Linked DNA regions of Oryctolagus cuniculus. The protein of the gene in region 1 interacts with the protein of each later gene in a pairwise test. Links are inferred from orthologs where the notes say so. Each region holds a gene or a part of one and is shown on either strand. Other genes may lie near its edges.

Region 1 (8,032 bases):
ACCTGAATCTGCAGTAGCGCCAGCACGTACCTGAAGAATGTAGGAGATGGTGTTCTCTGGGCATTGCAGTAAGCATTTGTAAAGTGTTACATTTTTGAAGTCACAGGTTTCTGGCTTTTTTTAATTTTTATTATTTTTTTGGACAGGCAGAGTTAGACAGTGAGAGAGAGAGACAGAGAGAAAGGTCTTCCTTCCATTGGTTCACCCCCAAATGGCCACTACGGCCGGCGCGCTGCGCCGATCCAAAGCCAGGAGCCAGGTCTTCCTCCTGGTCTCCCATGCAGGTGCAGGGCCCAAGCACTTGGGCCATCATCCACTGCCTTCCTGGGCCACAGCAGAGAGCTGGACTGGAAGAGGAGTAACTGGGACAGAACCGGCACCCTGACAGGAACTAGAACCCAGGGTGCCGGTGCCGCAGGCGGAGGATTAGCCAAGTGAGCCGCGGTGCCAGCCAGGTTTCTGGTTTCTACAGCATTTGCATGCCTGCTTTCTGAGCTGGGAAGGGTGTCTGTCGCATCTGTCTGTATTTTGTGTTGTTTATAAACATTTTTATGCCTATAAATATGAGCAATACAGGAGCTGGTGTTGTGGCATAGTGGGTAAAGCTGTTACCTGCAGTGCTGGCATCCCGTGTGGGCACAGGTTTGGGTCCTGGCTGTCGTCACTTCCAGCCCGGCTCCCTGCCAACGCCCTGGGAAAAGAGGCAGAGGGTGGCCTATGTTTCTGGGCCCCTCCCAGCCACGTGGGAGACCTGGATGAAGCTCCCGGCTTTGGATCTGCCCAGCCCAGGATGCTGCAGCTATGTGAGGAGTGAACCAGCGGAGGGAGGACTGAGCTCTCTTTCTCTCTCTGCCTCTATTCTGCCTTTTCAAATAAACAAATCTTTCAAAAAAAGATAGTGTCACTGTGCATAAAATATATGTGCATGGGGGTGAAGGCACAAAATGAAAATGTCTGATACTGCTGCATTATGAGTTATTTGTTTAAAAAGAAAAATATTAAATAATTTGAAGGAAACATGCCATCTTTTAGGTAGATTCTCAAACTCTGCTCATGCTTGGCTTAAAACCTGGAACAGTTTCCAGGCAGGCTGGCGCTCTGGCCCTGCTGCCTCACTCGCTGGGCGAGCAGCTCCTGGCAGGCCGGGCCCACCTGCCTAAGCTCACTAACTCGCCGCTGAACAAGCCGAGTCAGGAAGGCAAGAGAAGTGGAGACAGCAGGAAAGGAAGGCTGGCGACACACTAGAAGGGCGAACACGAAGTCAGCACAGCTGGCTGCGACCTGCGGCAGCCCCCGGCCCTCTGCTCCCCAGGGCTGCTCTGCACCAAGGGGCGCAAAGGCAAGCCTAACTTCTGGTGAAACAACTCAGTGAATGCCGTCTTCTCCTTAACCACACCACCCCAGCTACAAAGTCCGTCCTGAAGGCCAAGATGGAACTGAAAACTCCTCCCAGAGCACAGTGCATTGTTCCCGTCCGCGTGGAGCCGGTGCAGACGCACAGAAGGGTGGCTCCTACCATGAGGTGTGGAAACTTCTACTTGACACAAACCTGCTACAGCAGACTTTTTAGAGCGCACCCCCGTGTCTATGAAAAACAACCACCTTGACTGTAACATTCTCTCGGCAGCAGCGCCCGACACAGATGCACCTGTCTCTTGCGTGACTGCTGGGCAGGGCCCCAGGAGCAGCAGGATGCACGGCAGGGCCCAGGTTTGTAGCCGGCTGTCTCCCATCTGCCTGCACAAGCACATCTAGGACGTCTGCACAAGGATGAAACTGCCTAACAACACGTTTCTCAGAACATCCCTGTCATGGGAGTCATACATGAATGCATGAGTCAGAAGATTATGCAAATCCCAAAACATTCAAGATTAAAAAAAATCACATGACCTGCCCAGAAAAATAAATAGTAATTTCTAATCTTCACCTACAGCAAAAACATCATCTCTGCTGCCCTCCGATCGCCCCCTTGTGCTGTGCGTCACTTTCTTTTCTTCTCCCTCTCTGCATCAGGCGTTGGAGAAGGCAGGCAGCTCAGAATATCAAGAAAGCCTCTGAGCATGGCTGCAGGTGCCTAGCTGTCAGAGATGCACACTCGAAGCCATCTGCATTCTTAAATTACAACATCATACGTTCACATACTTTGGTGTTTAATCAAGGAGTACCTTTGAGAACTGGCCCTGTAACATCATTTTCTGAGTTATATACGAATGAGAATCAAAGAATAAGCTGACAGAGTTAGATCTTCAATGTTCAAAGGTACTACTTAAGTCACAGATTTCTTCACCTTGCTCAGCATAAAATTTTAACAAGAAAACCAAAATCGATGGTTGAAACATTCATATTCCCCAATATCCTCTAAAACAATTCCTCAAAGTAGGGCCAGGGGCCCCTGGGTAGTGCAGGATCCTTCCTGGGGTCTGTGAGGTCAACACTATTTTTATAATACTACTAAGCTTTCCCTTCTTCCTCACTTTCATTCCCTCATAACTACACAGTGGGCTTTCCCAGAGGCTATGTGATCTCACAACTGAACGCAGAAGTAGGAACCAGAGTCCAGCTGATCGTCTATGGAGCCAAGCAGGGGCTGGTAGCATGGCCCAGCAGGTTAAGCCACCACTGGCATCCCAGATGGGTGCTGGTTCCAGTCATGGCTGCTCCACTTCCAATCCAGCTCCTTGGGAATGCGCCTGGCAAAGTAGCAGAGAGACTTGGACTCTTCCCACCCACAAGGGAACCCAGATGAAGTTCCAAGCTCCTGTTTTCAGCCTGGCCCAGCCTTGGCTGCTGTAGCCATTTGGGGAATGAACCACCAGTGGATGAAAGATCCGTCTCTCTCTCTCAATCTCTCCCTCTCCTAACTCTGCCTTTCAAACAAGTAAATCTTTTTAAAAAGATGTGCAAAAATATGAAACAATGCTGCTGCTCTTTTATTTTGGGGGAAGATCATTACATATTGGTGGTTTAATGGATTTAGTTTGGGATGAATTAAAGATTTTAGAATTTTAACTTTTTCTTAATTTTTGTTTATTCACTTATTTGAGTGGCAGACAGAACTCCGATCTGCTGGTTCACTCCTCAAATGCCCACAATGGCCAGGGTTGGGCCAGGCCAAAGCCCAGCCACGAACTCCATCCAGGTCTCCCACATGGGTACAAGGACTCAGCTCCTTCAGTACACCCGCTGCTGCCTCCCACAGTACACATCTGCAGGAAGCTGGGGCTGGGAGCACAGCCAGGATTCAAATTCTTTTTTTTTTTTTTTGACAGGCAGAGTGAACAGTGAGAGAGAGAGAGAGAAAGGTCTTCCTTTTCCGTTGGTTCATCTCCAATGAAGATCTGAAGCCAGGAGCCAGGTGCTCCGCCTGGTCTCCCATGCGGGTGCAGGGCCCAAGCACTTGGGCCATCCTCCACTGCCTTCCCAGGCCACAGCAGAGAGCTGGACAGGAAGAGGGGCAACCGGGACAGAATCCGGCGCTCCAACCTGGACTAGAACCCGGGGTGCCGGTGCCGCAGGCCAAATTCACTCTTCAACACGAGACACAGGTGTCTTAACCACTAGGGCAAATACCCATCACAAGTTTTAATTTCTAATGCGGTATCAATAAATGTAAACCATTTAACAAAAACTCTTTGGGAATCAATTTTTAGAGGTTTCAGACACCAAAATATTTGAGAATCACTGCCCTAAAGTATGCTCAGAACATAACAAAGAAGTACTGAGTTTCCCAAAGGGATCATTCTAGTCTCCTAAAATAATAAAGAACCCAAGTGTTAAGTTTTTTCTTCCTGATACTAGAGAAAAGTTCTACAGAGTTACACAGTGATCAAAATCTTTAATTTGGAAAAACTAGTAATACTTTACAAATGAATTTGATAAGCGTATTCTATCTGATGCTGTACACTGGAGATACATACTTCAGAGAAAGATCTACACGGGGGAGACTGTTAAGTACAGTCTAGGGCCAGCACTGTGGCACAGTAGGTTAAGCCACGGCCTGCAATGCCAGCGTCCCATACTGGAACCAGTTCTAGTCCCAGCTGCCTGCTAATGCTCCTGGGAGAGCAGTGGAAGAGGGCCCAAGTGCTTGAGTCCCTGCCATCAATGTGGGAGACTCAGCTGAGGTTCCTGGCTTTGGCCTCCACAGCGCTGGCTGTTGTGGGTATTTGGGGAGTGACCCAGCAGATGGAAGATTTCTCGTTTCGTTGTTCTTTTTTTAAGATACATTTATTTATTTGAAAGGGAGAGTCACAGAGAGGCGAGAGGGGGAGAAGAGGGGAAGGGGGAGGTCTTCCATCCGCTGGTTCACCCTCAAATTGGCTGCAATGGCCGAAGATGTGCCGATCCAAGGCCAGGAGCCTCTTCCAGCTCTCCCATGGGGGTGCAGGGGCCCAAGCACTTGGGCCATCTTCCGCTGCTTTCCCAGGCCACAGCAGAGAGCTGGATCAGAAGTGGAGCAGCTGGGACACAAACCAACACCCAAATGGGATGTCAGCACTGCAGGCGGCGGCCTTAGCCGCTACATCACCCTATAGGACCCTCTTGTTTCTAATTCTGCCTTTCAAATAAACAGATCTTTAAAAAAAACAACAGTTTGACCTTAAGGAAATTTCCTGATACATGAATATCTGATTTGCCCTTTTAAACGACAAACTATTTCATTAATTCTTTTTCATTTGGCACAGAACGCACAGCTCAGCCTTTCTTTGATAGCTCAGCTTCACCATTAGAAACAGCAGCTGTTGTGCTAAACTGAACGTGGTGATTACACCCCCCCCCCCAGCCGAGAGCAGACGCGGGGGGGCAGCCCCCCCCCCCCTTAGGCCGAGGGCACCGGCGGGCGCTCCCCGCTCTCCTGACCTCGGCTCAGGTGCCGTGCGTGCCCTTTCCTCCCATTCCCTGTGCCTCAGGATCACAACACCTGTCACCCACTCCTAGTTTTTGCTTCTTTTGTAACAAATCGACTTTTAAAGGGTTATAACTTCTCTACAGCTACCTGCATGCTGACTTACGTTAGGAGGAAACTCCTGATGCCCGAACAACACTCAAATCGTGGGAACTGTTCACATCTCACCTGACCTGATCACGCCCATCCAGCCAGAAGACGGCAGCGTGTCTTTTCGCCTATTCTAATCCCCACATACACAGACACCAGGCATGCCATCTCAGCGTGCGCTCCACGGCAGAGGAAGCACTGAATGTGGTGACTGACTACCTCTCCCCGCCTCGGCCACGGAAGACGCACTAACCATTTTTACTAAAATTATACAAATACCTCAAATGTGTAGCTTTACCAGTACACTCAGAGTTCTACTAACTATACCAGTTTACAGCTGAGAAAATAAAACTAAGAATTAAAGGGTCCACAACACTGATAAGTAACGGAACAGGATTTAGTTTTTTTTTGGTTGGGTCAAATGCTCCTTCCAGTGGAGCACAGCTTCGACCCCTCAAGCCGGCCCTCTCACAGGGGACAGGGAGCGGCCGGCCCAAGACCACAGCAAGAGCTGCTAGCACATCCCGACGTCCTCACACGAGCGTGCTCCTGTTCCTCTGACGCCTTCCGCTCTTGCCGGGGAAACACTCACCTTCAACATCTTCTTGTTCGCTGTGTTCTTGCCACACTCCCTCCTCAGCTGTTCACTCATGGCTTGCAGCTCTCTTCCAAAGTGGATCATTCTTTCAATGGCAGCCTGACTTCCGCCACATAACTGGCGTCTTAACTGGTTTGAGTCAACTTCTGCAAACCAAACAAAGAAGTGCTTCACTACTTTATGGAATGGAACACACGTAAGAAATGAACACACATTTCTGATCCATTTTAGACCTCCCAGTCAGTAAGCACTCCCCAACATGTCACCTACACACACAGACTCGTGCTCAACCGAGCAGGGAACTCTGCAGCTAATCATCACACTGGATCCAGAGCTCGGGAGTCTGGGATCCAGGGTGCTGCGCGCAGCCCAGAGGCAGGGCTACCCGTGCAGTGTCAGGATGGACCCAGTGTCTCACGAGTGTCACCAAGAGGCAGGGGCCAGTCTCTAAAACCACATGAAGAGGGGCCGGCGCTGTGCCATGGTAGGCTAGGCATCCATCTGTATGCTGCCAGCTCGAATCCCGGCTGCTCCTCTTCTGATCCAGCTCCCTGCTCGTGGTCTAGGAAAGCAGCGGAGGATGGCCCAGGTGCTTGGGCCCCTGCACCCACGTGGGAGATCTGGAGGAAGCTCCTGGCTTCAGATCGGCTCAGCTCCAGCCATTATGGCCATTTGGGGAAGTGGACCAGAGGATAGAAAACCTCTCTGTCTCTCCCTCTCTCTATAACTCTGCCTCTCAAGTAAATAAGTAAATCTTAAAATAAAAATTAAAAAATAAAACCACACTAAGCAAAATTAACAAAGAAAAAGAGAGAAGGTAGTAACTGCCTCTCAGGCTGTTTTAACTGACATATAACAGAGGTGGAGTAAAGTGTTCCTGGAAGCTAAGAGAGGCTAAATGATTCCAATAGAAACACAGATTATTATAACACATTATAATAATCAAAATAACTATCCTGGTTTTAGAAAAGAATTGTGCTATACATCTTGAGTGACAACTATCACGTCACTGCTCAGCAGTGTGAGTGGAAATCCAGAGTAACACAACTCCCTGCTGTGAAGATGACGGCGGCTGACACTGTGCTTGTTTGCTTTCCACAGGTTAACACACGGATTCACCCTGCACAGTGACCTAAGAGGCAGTTATTATACCCATTTTACAGATGAAGATGCTGAGGCACAGATCAGGTTAAGTGATCTGTCCAAGGTCACAGAGCTAGTAAGTGGAGTTGCAGACACCACTGCAGGTCATCTGCTCTAGAGCTCCTGCTCTCGATGACTCCGCTTAAACTGCCCTGAAGAAGCCGAAGTTGCTGATCTCTCACTGAAAAATGAGGTGAGGCTGCTTTTCAAATAATTTTGGTAAATAAACACCTTTTAATTTCAAAATGCCAAGAAATTCATATTTTCATGGAATTCCAACAAGCAATTTGTAGGTTTCAATAAATTTTCATTATTTTCTGGAAGTTTGCTGAAAGACTTTAAGGCGCAGTTTACTACATAATTTGTCTACAAAATACAAGTTTGCATGCTAGTCTATCTCTGAGTCCTGTGTATTTTTTCTCTGCTGGGGGAGGTCATACGTCAGCACCTAATATACCACACACAGTACTGGGCAGTCACTCATGTTTGCAGTGAACGAGTTAGGAACTGTTTAACAATTTAACTAGAATTTAACAAAAAGTTTAGTAATTTTGAATTTGCAAAATCATTTGACCCACTTGGCCTTACTGACTATATTGAAGTAAGTGTAACAAATTTATCTCTGACCTTAAAACCCTTAAGGCTCAACAGTGATTAGTACAGCTTCATTAAGCATAACCCTAAAATTAAGCCTGAACAGCCAATTCAACAAAGAAAACTGGCACTTGACTTCAGAAGAAATTCAAAAATAACTACTCTCTCTAGCTGAGAGAGTTCCAGTAATATGTATTACTGTCAACACTACTGCACACACATCACTAAATTTGGTTTATGCTCATCAGTACAAGTAAAAACATAACCTTGTAGCCATCATTTTTATTAAAAATGTAAGAAATATCACTGCAGACCCATTTCGGTGTCACAATCTTCCATTTCGTGGTCATGTTTAGAGCTACCATTTAGGAAACCATTGGATGAAGTCTCTCCAACTCCATTGGAGTAGTGATCTGTTTCCATGTCTACATCATTACTGAAAATGAAAAAACAAACCTAGTTTTAGAAAGATCATACTTGCAGCTTGGTGTAAGACAAATTACTTCTCAACTACTTAACCTACGTATAAACTAACTTCACAAGGCAATAGCAATCTGCAAAAAAGGTATGTAGTTACATCTCAAGTGTACTCAAAGCCAGATCCACAGCCGACGCTTACCAAGCCTGCACCTCCTGGAGCTAAGGAGGAAGACACGCGCTAACTGTGTGGTGGTTTTTGACTTGACACCAACAGGAGAGGG
Region 2 (8,032 bases), on another chromosome or scaffold:
TGGGTGATAGCTTTACTCGTTATACCACATTGCCAAGCTGCCCTCTCCCCCTTTTAAAATTTATTTTATTTATTTGGAAGGCAAGGTTAGAGGGCGAGAGAGGGAGATACAGAGGGATCTTCCATCTGGTGGTTCACTCCCCAAAAGGCCACAGCAGCCTGGGCTGGGCTAGGCCGAAGCCAGAAGCTTCATCCAGGTCTCCCACATGGGTTCAGGGGCCGAAGAACTTGGGTCATTTGCTGCTGCTTTCCTAGTTGCATTAGCAAGCAGCTGGGCCAGAATAGAAAATTTAATTAGCAAGCAGCTGGATTGGAAGCTCAACAGCCAGGTCTTGAACTGGTGCCCATATGGAATGCTAGTGTTGCAGGTGACAGCTTACTCCACAATGCTGGTCCCATGATGTTTAATCTTCTTTAGAGAAAGAGCTATTCATGTCTTTTGTCTATTTTTAAATTGAGTCAATTGTCTTTCTGCTATTGGTTTTGAAGTTTTAGTGCTTATGTTTAGGATGTTGGTCTTGGCTCAGTTTTGATTCATTTTGAGTTAGTTTTTGTGCATGGGAATAGGTGTAGGACCGCTGACTGTTATCACCTGCAGTACCCATTAGCATTATGAAACATGAAATCTCTGCAACAGACGTCTCAGTTGGTTTTCTGGGTAGCTTTATCCTCACGTAGTCAATCAGTGGTAATTTCCTGCTTAAGCTTTTAATTGAAAACTGTCTGCTAATGTAAAATGTTTTCCCTAATTAACTGATCCTGTTTTATCCAGTGTGTGGTAGGGAAACTTGAGCTACATTAGACATCTATAGTAGGTCTGGATTGTTTAATTTGTAAAATTGTCAGGGGTGGTTAGTAACTCTTGAAGTTTATTTGTAGGTTTTAGGTTTTGTCACTGGCTTAGAGCATTGATTTAGTTATTGAAGTGTAGTTCATGGGAACATGAACTTGTTATTTTTGCATTCTAATCTTGCTTTATTTGATAATTAATTCCTTGGCTATGTTACTTACTTATTGAATACTGTTCTGTGGTTAGAAATTCTCACTTGGTTAATCCTCCGCCTGCAGCACTGGCATCCCATATGGGTGCTGGGTTCTAGTCCCGGTTGCTCCTCTTGCAGTCCAGCTCTCTGCTGTGGCCCAGGAAGGCAGTGGAGGATGGCCCAGGTGCTTGGGCCCTGTACCCGCATGGGAGACCAGGAGGAGGCACCTGGCTCCTGGATTCAGATCGGCACTGCACTGGCCGTAGTGGCCATTTAGGGGGTGAACCAACGGAAGGAAGACCTTTCTCTCTGTCTCTCTCTCTCACTGTCTATAACTCTACCTGTCAAATAAAAAAAAAAAAAGAAATTTTTCCTCACCTTTAATCTGCAGTATTCAGGATGATACAGTTTCTGGGATTTACTAGATTAAACAAATGGGTGAGTTGTTTGGTATATTAGTTAGGTCACCATTTCAGACTCCTGCATCCCGAGTTGGAGTACCTGGTTCAATCCTTGCTTCCAGTACGGCTTCCTGCTAATGGGCACCTTCGAATAGCTTAAGTAATAGCTTAAGTACTTGGGTCCCTGCCACCCACACGGGAGACCTGGATTCAGTTCTGGGCTCCTTCCTGGTTTTGCCTTGACAGCTCAGGTTGTTAAGAGCATTTGGGGAGTGAACCATTAGATGAGCCATCTTTCTTCGACTGTTTATGTCTCTCTGCCTTTCAAAGAAAATTAAAACAAAGAAATTGAAAAAAAAAAAAGTGGTGATTGTGTGGTAGCCTTTATAGGACTCTTGTGTTTTATTCTTTACTTTTCAAAAAATAATCTTCCAGTGGAGAGGGGTCCAGATAGACCTTCTGTTTAATTGTCAAGTGTTTTAACTTTTAGAGTTGTCTAATTATTTGTTTTAAACAGAGGAAGATATGATTTGGTTGTTTCTTTTTTTAGTATTTGATTCTGAAGCTTGAAAGGCCTGCTATAGTTCAGAATATCACATTTGGAAAATATGAGAAAACTCACGTCTGCAACTTGAAGAAATTCAAAGTCTTTGGTGGAATGAATGAAGAAAATATGACAGAGCTGTTGTCTAGGTGAGTTGTGGTTGTGAGGAGAGAAGTTGTCTTCTAAACAAACTGCAGTTCTAGTTTCATCTCTTTCAAAAGAGAAAAGAATATTTCTCCTATTTTTTAATACTGTGGCTTAACTTTTTTTTTCCCTTTAAACTACTGGGTACTCAGTGTTATCAAGCAAAAATGAATAAAATTTTTTGATATTTTTTATTTTCAATTGTATTTTTAAAATGTTAATGACTTGAGCTTTAATGAAAACCTTTGCTATAAAAATATAGTCTCTATCCAAAACGTTGGTTCACTGCTGTAATCCAGAAGTAATCTTCTAAGAGTTTATTGTAAGTGGGGCACTGAAAAAAGGAAGTTCTTGTAAATGGAAAAGCTACATGATTTAACATAGTGCTTGCTGCAAGGAGGGAGGAGGAGCTCAGGAACCATCAGAAATAAAGGTGTTAATTTGCCCCTCAGAGAGTGAAAAATCATATAGCAGTGGAATATGCAAATAAAACCATGCAGATATAGAATATATTTGTGGGGCCAGCACTGTGATGTAGCGGGTAAAGCTGCCCAGCACATCTTATGTGGGTGCTGGCTGGTTTGAGTCCCGGCTTCTGATGCAGCCCTCTGCCATGGCCTGGGAAAGCAGTGGAAGATGGCCCAAGTCCTTGGGCCCCTGTACCCCCACGAGAAGACCCGGTGGAAGCTCCTGGCTCCTGGCTTTGGATCGGCACAGCTCCTGCTGTTGTGGCCAGTTGGGGAGTGAACCAGTGGATGGAAGGCCTCTCCTTTCTGTGTGTAATTCTGACTTTCAAATACATAAATAAATCTTTAAAAAAATATATATTTGTGACATGGTAGATCCCATTAACTCAGTACTTTAAGTAAATATTACTCCAATACTGCATTGATTTTAGTCAGGAAGTATGTTAGGGCATAATCAGAAGGTGACTTTCACATTTCAAAAGTTGGATTTCAAAAAGTTGAAAATGTATAATTTAAAGCTAAGTTTATTTTGGTGAAAAATTAAAAAGAAAAATTCAGGCATAATGTTATCACAGTATACATTTTCCAGGAAGACTTTTAAGACTCCTTGTATGCAAGGAATTAAAAATTTACTGGCACCAAAATGTTTTTAAAGATTTATTTATTTGAAAGGTAGAGTTACAGAGAGAGGTAGAGACAGAGAGGTCTTCAATCGATTGGTTCACTCCCCAAATGGCCACATTGGCCGAAACTGAGCCGATCTGGAGCCAGGAGCTCTTTTTGGGTCTCTCACGTAGGTACAGGGGCCCACTGCTTTCTCAGGTGTGTTAGGAGGGTGCTGGATTGGAAGTAGAGCACCTGAAACTAAAACCGGTGCCCATATGGGATGCCCACACTGCAGGCCAGGGCTTTAACATGCTGCGCCACAGTGCCGGCCCCCAAAATAAGCTGCCTTTTTTTTTTTTTTTTAAAGATTTATTTATTTATTTGAAAGGCAGAGTTACAGAGAGGCAGAGGCAGGGGCAGAGAGAGAGAAAGAGAGGTCTTCCATCCATTGGTTCACTCCCCGGGTGACTGCAGTGGCAGGAGCTGTGCCGATCCAAAGCCAGGAGCCAGGAGCTTCTGGGTCTCCCACGCAGATGCAGGGGCCCAAGGACTTGGGCTATCTTTTACTGCTTTCCCAGGCCATAGCAGAGAGCTGGATCGAACGTGGAGCAGCTGAGACTCAAACTGGCCGTCCATATGGGTTGCTGGCACTACAGGCGGTGGCTTTACCTGATACACCACAACACTGGTCCCCAAAATACTCTTAATTCCATTTTCTGCTAACTTATGATGTATCCTTGTTTATATGTCAATTCTAATTGTTTAAGTGGAGTAGTGCTGTGAGTTCCTTTAGGATAAAGCATGTTTGTCTTTGAATTTTTGTTTAAAAGGAACATTAACATCCCATTCAGAAACAAATGATTTAATTCTTAGACAAATTCTCATATTTGACTTTTAAGTTGTCAGTTATCAATGTGACTTTTTTTTTTAGTTTTTCTTCTTACCACCTGAAACTTCAGTTATACATTAATGACACTAGGTCCTGTAATACATGTCTGTGCACTGTTGCCAACTCGTTAATACTCAGTGTTTTTCATTAGCTGTCAAATAATTAATAGAATATAGTTATGATGCAGTTCATTAGAATATAAAAGTTTTAACTTTATTTGCATGTTGGACCACTTAGTCATTTATTGTGAGCATTGTTTTAAACTGAAAATTTGAGTATGACATCTATATTTTAGTGTATTTCTTAATTATGAAGTCAGATTTAATAACTTTTTTTTCTCTTTCAGTGGCTTAAAGAATGATTATAACAAAGAAACATTCACCTTGAAGCATAAAATTGATGAACAGATGTTCCCTTGTCGATTCATAAAAATAGGTAAGGTTTTAGCATTCAGGAATGGAAAAATTTTTTTTTATATCATCAGTCAGGAAACTATAGCCCATGGACCAAATCCTGCAGGCCTCCTCTTTGTTTAAAATAAAAAACTATGGGAGCACTGCTCTGTTGGCTTGTTTATGTTACCTGTGGTTATTTTGTGCTGTAAAGGCAGAACTAGCTGCAAGAGTTCAGTAGTTACTCACTAAGCTCAAAAGGGTTGCTATTTGATCCTTTACAGAAAATGTTGTTAGTTTTAAAACTTTAGCATTCTAAAACGAAAACCAAAATATTGAAATGTTTCTTAAGGTAGTATATTATGGTTACTTTTTATTATTTCTTTTTTTATTGAAATATTGGTCATATTCACTAAATTCATTTCATGACTTACTAGTGTGTTGTAAACTGCTGTTTGACCATTACTACTTTAATGAAAGGATAACCTTAAAGGCCCAAACCTCACATATTGATTTGGTGGAATAGAGTGTTTGCTAGTCTGTCAAGAGCCGTTCTGTTCTATCTTGATGCAGTAATTCAGTTGTGCAGAAGGAATACCTGAAGTCTTATTGAAGATTGCTTAGAGAGGGAAAGCCATCTTGGAAATAGTTGGGTGTCCAGTGTGTTACTTTCTTTTGTAACTGTAATTTCTTTTGTTAAATAATTGTAAATAAAATCTGTTTCCTGTTCTATTTAAGAATTTGTGAGCAAGCAAATTTTTTGGATAAATTTAACTCTTGGTTATGTACTTCTTCTGTGCTAGTGAGTAACTGTTTCTTTAGTGTTTGGATCACCCAGTTCCTCCAGTGTCTTTCGTAGCTTTAATAATTCTGTGATCTTTTATTTCAGATATATAAGCAGTGGAAATTAGAACCCTTCCCAGCTCTTTCTGTTAGCCTTTTATTTTATTTTGGTGAATTTTTGCTTGTGCATTTTTAATTTCCCCCAACTTTATTAAAGTCTAATTAGTGAATATAATAATTTTATATGTTTATGATGTGTAGTATAATTTTGTGATGTAGGCATACATTGGGAAGCTGATTAACATATCCTTCAACACACATTTTTTGTAGTGAGGCTTTTTTTTTTTTTTTTGACAGGCAGAGTGGACAGTGAGAGACAGATAGAGAGAAAGGTTGGTTCACCCTCCAATGGCCACCTCGGCTGGCGCACCGCACTGATCCGATGGCAGGAGCCAGGTGCTTCTCCTGGTCTCCCGTGGGGTGCAGGGCCCAAGCACTTGGGCCATCCTCCACTGTACCCCCTGGCCACAGCAGAGAGCTGGCCTGGAAGAGAGGCAACCGGGACAGAATCCGGTGCCCCGACCAGGACTAGAACCCGGTGTGCCGGCGCCGCAAGGCAGAGGATTAGCCTAGTGAGCCGTGGCACTGGCCTAATGTGGTGAGGCATTTAAGTTCTACTTTCTGAGCAGTTTTCAAGTATGCTGTACAGTAGAGCTCTAGCACTCACTTACCCTGAAATCTTATCTCTTTTACCAACATTTCCCTCTTCTCAGCAGCATTCTAACTGTAGAACACAATATCTTTTCTTTTTTTTTTGACAGAGTGGACAGTGAGAGAGAGAGACATAGAGAAAGTTTTCCTTTTCCATTGGTTTACCCCCCAGTGGCCGCTATGGCCGGAGCTACACTGATCCTAAGCCAGGAGCCTGGTGCTTCCTTCTGGTCTCCCATGCAGGTGCAGGGCCCAAGCACTCGGGCCATCCTCCACTGCCCTCCTGGGCCACAGCAGAGAGCTGGACAGGAAGAGGACCAACTGGGACTAGAACTCTGGGGGCCGGCGCCGCAGGCGAAGGATTAGCCTATTGAGCCACGGCGCTGGCTGATATCTTTTCTTGACCTGGAGTTAATCTTATAGTATTCAGGCAGGATGTTAATTGAAGCTTTCCAGGTAATTATAGCCACTGATTAGCTCATTTAATATTTAGGACACTACTATTTAGGTAAATTTGTATTTCTTTTCTGTTAAAAAATGTTAATACTGGTCTGTAGTCTATTTGCTTTTCAACCCCTTTTTAACATCTCTTGATAATTTTTGTTTGAAAGTTATGTAAGCAAAATGTGAAACTAAAAGCCTGTGTGTCAGGTTGGCATCTTTGGTTTATCACCATATTTACTGAAAAAAAAAAAAATCAACTATTGGAGCAGGTGTTTGGCACAGTGGTTAAGTTGCTGCTTGTGATGCCTTAGCCCATATGCCTGGGTTTGGATCCCAGTTCCTCTGCTTCTGCTCCAGCGTCCTGCCAGTGCACACTCTAGGTGATTGCAGGAGTGGCTCGAACACTGCCATCCAAGTGGGCAGCCCTTGCTGGAGGTTCTGCTTCAGCCTGGCCCAGCTCTGCTACGTAGTCATTTGGAGAGTAAACCAGAAAATGCAGGAGATCTTGATCTTTCTCTCTATCTCTCTGTCCCTCCCTCCCCATCACCTTGCCTTTCATATAAAATGCAAAGAAATAAAAATTAAGAAGATGTCAGAACACAGTATACAGAAAGTTTACAAATATTCACAGAAACTGTTCTGCCAAAGGGCATGAATTATGGTAGCTGTCTTTGGTGGTGGTTTAATGCAGATATTTGTTGAACTGGGCAGGCTAAATTGTTACAGTTAGAAGAAGAAATGTGTTTGAATAATTAATATTTACATTCTGTAGTGATATATTTGAAAGATCTTGCTTTATTTAAAAAGAATCTTGTCTTTTTTTTTTTAAGAAAGCTTTTATTTAATGAATGCAAATTTCATAGTTACAGCATTAGGGATAAAGTGGTCCCCCCCCCGCCCACCCTCCCCCACTCCTGTCCCACCTCTATTCTCTCTCCCATCCCATTCTTCATTAAGATTCGTTTTTAATTAACTTTATATACAGAAGACCATTTTATACTAAGTAAAGGTTTCCACAGTTTGCACCCCACACAGACACACAAAGTATAAAGTAATGTTTGGAAACAACTTTTACCGTTAATTCTCATAGTATAGTGCTTTAAGGACAGAGGTCCTACATGGGGAGCAAGTGCACAGTGACTCCTGTTGTTGATTTAACAATTGGCACTCTTATTTATGACATTAGTGATCACCCGAGGCTCTTGACATGAATTGCTATGGAAGCTTTTTGTGTCTATAAACTCTGTCAGTATTGACAGGACCATAAGCAAAGTGAAAGTTCTCTCCTCCCTTCAGAGAAAGGTACCTCCTTCTTTGATGGCCCCTTCTTTCCATTGGGATCTCACTCACAGAGATCCTTCATGTAGATTTTTTTTAAAAGATTTATTTTATTTATTTGAAAGAGTTACAGAGAGAGACAGGGAGAGAGGTCTTCCATCCACTGGTTCACTCCCCAGATGGCTGCAGCGGCTGGAGCTGCACCCATCCAAAGCCAGGAGCCAGGAGCTTCTTCTGGGTCTCCCAAACGGGTGCAGGGGCCCAAAGACTTGGGCCATCTTCTGCTTTCCCAGGCCATAGCAGAGATCTGGATCGGAAGAGGATCCGCTGGGTCTTGAACCGGCGCCCATATGGGATGCGGGCGCTTCAGGGCAGGGCTTTAACCCGCTGC

Evidence for each region.
Region 2: the proteins of RANBP9 (region 1) and MKLN1 interact in a two-hybrid assay, tested with the Homo sapiens proteins (2 studies listed by BioGRID). The link is inferred for Oryctolagus cuniculus from reciprocal best matches to the Homo sapiens genes RANBP9 and MKLN1.

Annotation. Positions count from the first base shown.
Region 1 is NC_091436.1:157,007,900-157,015,931, reverse strand, and holds part of RANBP9 (ran-binding protein 9), read right to left. Parts: intron 7,768-8,032; coding exon 7,646-7,767; intron 5,741-7,645; coding exon 5,589-5,740; intron 1-5,588. UniProt on the Homo sapiens protein: May act as scaffolding protein, and as adapter protein to couple membrane receptors to intracellular signaling pathways. Acts as a mediator of cell spreading and actin cytoskeleton rearrangement.
Region 2 is NC_091434.1:167,391,390-167,399,421, forward strand, and holds part of MKLN1 (muskelin), read left to right. Parts: intron 1-1,933; coding exon 1,934-2,076; intron 2,077-4,379; coding exon 4,380-4,468; intron 4,469-8,032. UniProt on the Homo sapiens protein: Component of the CTLH E3 ubiquitin-protein ligase complex that selectively accepts ubiquitin from UBE2H and mediates ubiquitination and subsequent proteasomal degradation of the transcription factor HBP1.